Bombyx mori: one gene and its partner. The protein of the gene in region 1 purifies or fractionates together with the protein of each later gene. This does not show direct contact. Links are inferred from orthologs where the notes say so. Each region holds a gene or a part of one and is shown on either strand. Other genes may lie near its edges. The genes, in order: 3-phosphoinositide-dependent protein kinase 1 and Ywhae.

Region 1 (2,570 bases):
ATGCTTCGGTCAGGAGGTCGTACTGACCGAACATATTATTATCGGATGTTGGCCATGCTCGAAGCCAAGGCTACAATTTCCTATATGTGCACACTCAACGAGTGGGGTGCTGTGATAAAACGCGGGGCCCGAGGGCCGCGGCAGCGTCGCAGGCTCTGCTCGGGTCTGCGGCAGCGCCGGCATTTAAGTCGTGTCGCGCCCATATGTTTCAATACGCACTTCGTCGATGACACGTTCCCATTCCAATGCGTAAGAATCTGGATCTTCTAGGTAATATGTACGATTCGGCTGCAAAAATATTATAACCAATTCAATATAATATGACCAGAAGATCATCAATTATATTTTGAAAATATAGTATGAAATAGTTTAAATTAATAAATTATAAAATACATAAATTATTTAATATGTACTGTATTTTTGTACACACAATCATAATTAATAATATCACAATTCATAATCATAATTATTACTTAAAAGCAATACTGTATTATTCTTACCGTATGTACTAAAAATATTCTGAAATTTTTGGCTTCAACGCGCAATTCTGGGGACCAGGGTATTTCCCCCTTAAGGATCATATTTGCTGGGTCAACGTAGAATAGTCGAGGTCCAGTAGTAAGAAGCAGCATCCGGCGCCTGGGAAACAGGCCCTTTCGCTTGTCGACAAGGCCCTGTTTCAGTATCAGCTCACCATCCACAAATTGATGCCATTTACTATCTCGGGCTTGAATTTCTAAGCGGCGACGTTTTTCTTCAGGGCTGATGTTCAATATACCTACAAAAAATAACCCTTATTAAATTTGGTAATTAATTATAATCAATCCTAGTTTATTATAAGTGTGTATGTTAGAGCTTCATTTATTTTCATAAGCTTAGTAAAAAAGTGTAAGTAGAGTTAAAAACAAACCTTTGGATGTCGATAAATCTATTCCCCAAAGACGCACTAGCTCTTTATTTCCAAGACCTGGTTCAAGATAGTCGGGCACATTATATTCTTCTTCAAATGAACCTCCTGGCAGGTATGGACTGATTTTCGGTGGAGTTTGCTCCCACAGTTTATCCCAGTCAACGCCTTCAAAGAAAGGATGATTGCGGATACTGTGGTACGTCTCTCCTTTATCGTCAGCTCCTATTCGCTTGGAATGATCGAGCACTAATAACTTTTCTACAAGGTCTTTAGCATCTGCTGGAAAACCTTCCGGAAATTCATAATCCATTTTGAGAATCTTTTGGAAAATTAAAAATTCCGTTGCAGCGCGGAAAGGAGGTAATCCTGATATCATCTGGTAGATAATACATCCCAAAGCCCACAGATCAGAAGCCCGAGTGTCAACACAATCGTGTAGTAATTCTGGACTAACATACTGAGGCGTGCCAACGAAACTGATTTTCCTTGAACGTTCATTTTGTGAATTATCATTTTCGTTATTTTTCGGAGAAGAGCTAATTTCTTTGGAATTAAGAATTTTTGCAGTACCAAAATCGGCTATACACAAATGCATGTTCTCGTCTAATAGTATGTTCTCCGGTTTTAAATCCCTGTGAATAATTCTTTGCGCGTGCATTTTCTCTAAAGCCCATAGTAATTCAGCGGCATAATGTTTGGCCACATTTAATTCGAAAGAGCCAACTTTATTGATATATGAAAGAAGTTCCCCATTCTTCGCATAAGATAATACAAAGTACAATCTCTCTTCATCTTGGAACGTACAATACAATTTAACGAAACCGTGGGGCACATTAAATAGCATATTTAAAGCGTCTTTTTCGCGTTTTATGTATTCTCGCTTCTTTTTTCGTATTATGTGATGTTTCTCACAGACTTTAACTGAAACAAATTAATGAATATTTTACTACTTTAGTTATGTAATGTATTATGATTATGATAAAATTAAATAATTTAACTTTAAAACTATCAAACGTGGTGTATGTACACTTACTTGCATATTCTTTCCCGGTGTGTATGTCTTTGGCTAAGAAGACTGTACTATAACAGCCGTCTCCTATTAATTTTCCGAAGATATAATCCTTTGCAGATCGCTTAGTAGTTTTGTGAGACTGGCTCGGTACCGGAGATGAAGCAGGGGCGGGGGCCGTAACTGTCGTAGCCGGTGAAGCCTGCATTTTTACCGGAGTTTCCACTATAGACTCAGCAGCCGCAATAGGAGCACGGACCTCACTAGACGCTCGACTGCCAATCTGTAAAAAAAAAGATTCCTTTTATACTTTTTTTCTTATTGGTTAACTGACGAAGTCCGTTTACGATGAGTGTAAGCAAGTGTTCTAAATCGAAGTTTCTTAAAGTGATTTAGAATAAAATTCACCGTGGATGATGCCTGGGTTAATAGGTCTTGTTTGTCAACAAAGTTCTAAAAATGAATCAGATTACTTTTGATATTTTAATCTGTCAAACTGACATTCTTTAGCATTAGTTTAGTGTTAAAGTCACAGCTTACGAAAGACTATTTTGTATGGATTATTTTTTGTTATTTAGTAAAAAAAGGACGAACATCTTTCCGAGCATACGCATACTACACATACATATATACTCTATATATAAAATTTTT
Region 2 (3,841 bases), on another chromosome or scaffold:
AGTATCCTATATAATTGTAAACAAAACAATGATATGTTTATTTTCCTTAATAATCTAAACACCTTAAAATGTAGAATAGACTCAGTTCCAACTGCATTAGAAGAATTAATGTAATTAAAATGAATATTATACATTCAGAGACATTTAGCATACTTTGATGATGCTTTAGGGAGGAAAAAATCTTATGTTGATTGGTCTGATGGCTCAGACCAAGATGCCTATAGGCTATGTAACGAACACAAAAGAGCTGCCACCTGATGATAAAGGGTTACTGTTGCCAAGGTCCCCATCGGAAGGGTCATAGCTCTTAGCGGCAAAGCCCTTTTGTCCCTTATCAATCCAACTTGTATACCCGCCACAGTATGGACATTGTTTTGAGATGATGAGTTGAAGTTTGAGGAAAATACTAGATTATCAAAAGTCGAAATGTTGAGCAAATATCTGCCCAATCTCCTAAATAACAATAATAAAAAGAAAAATAAATATCTATAAATATGGCGAGCTCACAGCCCACCTGGTGCTAAGTGGTTACTGAAGTCCATAGACATCTACGACGTAAATGCGCCACCCACCTTGAGATGTAAGTTCTAAGGTCTCAAGTATAGTTACAACGGCTGCCCCACCCTTCAAACCGAAATGCATTACTGCTTCACGGCAGAAATAGACAGGGTGATGGTACCTACCCGTGCGGACTCACAAGAGGTCCTATCATCAGTAAAGTACCAGATATGGTAGAAATGTACTAAAACGAATAATATATCCTATTTTTCAGAAATGGTGGAGGCGATGAAGAATGTAGCATCACGCAACGTGTCCGACAATGAGCTGACAGTGGAGGAGAGGAACCTGCTGTCGGTCGCCTACAAGAACGTGATCGGCGCCCGCCGCGCCTCCTGGCGGATCATCTCCTCCATCGAACAGAAGGAAGAAACAAAAGTGAGTCTCGTGTAACACTTACTTGTCTGCTGATGTAACTTGTCATAATCAGAGCTTAGCCCGGATAAATAAATTGGATGATTGTGTTTTAGTATCACCCAAGCATTGAGAGTTTAGAAGAAAAACCTCATATTTTGGTATCCAGACTTGTTTTGTTAATCTAATGCATCTAGAGGGCCTCATAACTTTTATCATGAGATTGATTCATGATAAAAGTTTACATATGTTCTGCGTGTATGTTTTTAGTGTTTCATGATACAGAGAACTCCTGAATTTTACCTGTCTTAGCTATAGATTCATTATAAATTGAGAGAAATCTGAGTACAGCAATGTTGATCATTTAGTGGTAGCCCCTTAACCAAATGTCATTGTTGAACATGTTTACATTATATAATTGAATGTTGGAAAATGAGAGATCGCTTCCCCAATACATATGTAGTATCAAACTACTTTTTGATTGATTCAACTGTTTATGTTTGGAGAAAACGGTGCGCGTGCAACTTGGTGCACGTGAAAGAAGTGAGACTTCTTTTGCGGTGTTTAGTATTTCGGTTTTCTTCATTTTTCATCGTTAAATGAAATTTCTCTTGTAATAGGTAATGCTGTGTATATCTTTTCACCATTTATATATATTATATATAGAAAAATATTACTATTTTTTCAAATCCTTCTTTAAAAATAAGATAGTATTTACAAGAGCAGTGAGAAACTAATAACAAGCCATCTAGTGGCGGACGCCCGTAAACAAAATGTGTATAAGGGAAACGAGCCGACTCGTTCCCTTCCTCTCCACGGTCGAGCTGTTCGCGAGACGCTGTCTTGTTTCTCACTCTCGCTCTTCCTAAATTATATGTTTTCTCTCTAGTCGCAACGAATCTGTCGCGAGTTTAATTTTATTCTCAACGCGCCTAAAGAAGTTTCACTTAAAAAACATTTTTAAGTAAAATGACTAATAATGGGAAATGATAAAATTAATAGCTTATCTCAGCAGCTAATTTGCTTTACTCTGTATTCATTGATCTGTGTGTTATTGTAGCTAGCAATGAGTTGATCATGCTTTCTTCTTTAATACTAGGCAAAAGTACAGAATTTGTTATTTAAACGCTGCTCCATTGCTGCGAGAAAGTAACACACTAAAAAACACGTCGCATTTAAATGTAGTGAAGAAATAAAATAAGTGTTGTTTTTTTCCGATTTGTAATGTACCTTTCGACAAACATTTTTTTTAGAATTAATACTTTTGTTAAATTAGCCTTTTCACAATTTGCGGTGAATCAATTTAAACCTGACATCGCCAGCCGACGTCTGTACCGCGTCTGTACGCGCCGCTTCAGTTATTGATCCGCAGCGCCGTCGGGGCTCCTGGTTGTTTCCAAGCTAATCGAGAGTTAGCCAACTAAATGTTAACTTCATAAACGCAATTTGAATCTTATCGACAAGTGTAATGCAAGTCGCTGGCTTGTTTTTTTGTGAATTTCTATTACATATTTAAATATATCCGACCGTCTGACCTTATAAAATTATCGAACCCGCACCGAGCTCAGGCACTCTTATTATCTAACGACAGCGAGCTTTGTAATTTGTTCTTAACGACGAAAAGATTAGTTAAATCATTAATTTATTTCTTTAACAAAATTCCGCAGTTAACATAACTTCAAAAATGTTACAAATTACTTCGATATTCTAAAAAATAAGCTTATTTATGGAATTAAGGAATAGGAATTAGTACGTACCCAAAAACTGACAACAAATAATTGTAGGAATAATTACATTAAGCATCTAAATCACACGCAAAGCATTCCCCGGTGATCGATATCAGTCGCTCGGCTTACTTTGTGTCCATGAATAGTCGCAACTAAAGTTACAATTGCATTGCCAGGACACACGAATAGTGAATCATTTTGTCTGATTCATGCGTGAATCTAGAGTTTGGGCTGAATCGTAATCCAAAAATATTACTCTTTATGGTTTTGTTCTATTTAACTTACGTCATATTCCAAGTTAGACAATATAATATTGAGGTAAAAGTTCCATGGAAGTATTAATAAAGGTGCCGTTCGAATTCCTGTGGCGACATGACAACATAAGAATAAATGCGCATCTTGAAGCGAATAAGCAAAATTATCTCATTACATTAGAATTAATAAAAAAACCCATAAATATTATTGTGATCATTGTTAAGAAATCGCCACGTTCAAATCGACAGAAACCGTTAGAAACATAACATTTTTTATCACTAACTGCGACAGACAAAAAACTGGAATTGGAGAGTTTGTAACTCGGCGTGTAATGAGGAAAGTGAGTCATAGTCAGTTGTTTCATCAGCGGTACGCCCAGTACTCATAGGAGTCGCACGGACTGAATCATCTAATTCCAAATGTTAAAATACCCTTACACACTTAATATTATCATTAAGTAATAATTGTTGAAAAATGTGGTCATATAAGCGTTTATAAATTTTATGACGATGTCAGAATAGGGAAACTGAAATGTGGGTTAGACTTAAATAGGTATCTTTTTTAAAGTAAATTCAATAGCCGGCTTAAAAAACTTACAATGGACCTTTCAACCTTTCAACTTTCAACAGCGTTGTTGACGAATCGCCTAAAAAAGTGTCAAGGACGCACTTTGTCTGACTACTTAGTTTTATGTACAGCCGCTCTATTTCTTATTTTATTAAAAAAATATGTCTTTAAGTACATATAAATATATACATACTATAATAGCTAAATTTTTGGAGCCCTGTTGACAGTTTCCATCGAAATAGTTTTGATCGTAGAGAGATTTCTGTAAACTTTTGTGATGATAATTTAAAAACATCGTCAAATATAAAACCGCAGTCTATCAAAGTGTACGTACGATGACAGTACCTGTCACGCAAAGGATTTTCATAATTTAATATCTT

What was found.
Region 2: the proteins of 3-phosphoinositide-dependent protein kinase 1 (region 1) and Ywhae purify together in Homo sapiens (affinity purification with mass spectrometry; 3 studies listed by BioGRID and IntAct, with this or other methods). This does not show direct contact. The link is inferred for Bombyx mori from reciprocal best matches to the Homo sapiens genes PDPK1 and YWHAE.

Annotation. Positions count from the first base shown.
Region 1 is NC_085117.1:13,115,227-13,117,796, forward strand, and holds part of 3-phosphoinositide-dependent protein kinase 1, read right to left. Parts: intron 2,203-2,570; coding exon 1,944-2,202; intron 1,832-1,943; coding exon 911-1,831; intron 779-910; coding exon 501-778; intron 289-500; coding exon 184-288; 3' UTR 1-183. UniProt on the Homo sapiens protein: Serine/threonine kinase which acts as a master kinase, phosphorylating and activating a subgroup of the AGC family of protein kinases.
Region 2 is NC_085122.1:14,135,331-14,139,171, forward strand, and holds part of Ywhae (14-3-3 epsilon protein), read left to right. Parts: intron 1-772; coding exon 773-936; intron 937-3,841. UniProt on the Homo sapiens protein: Adapter protein implicated in the regulation of a large spectrum of both general and specialized signaling pathways. Binds to a large number of partners, usually by recognition of a phosphoserine or phosphothreonine motif.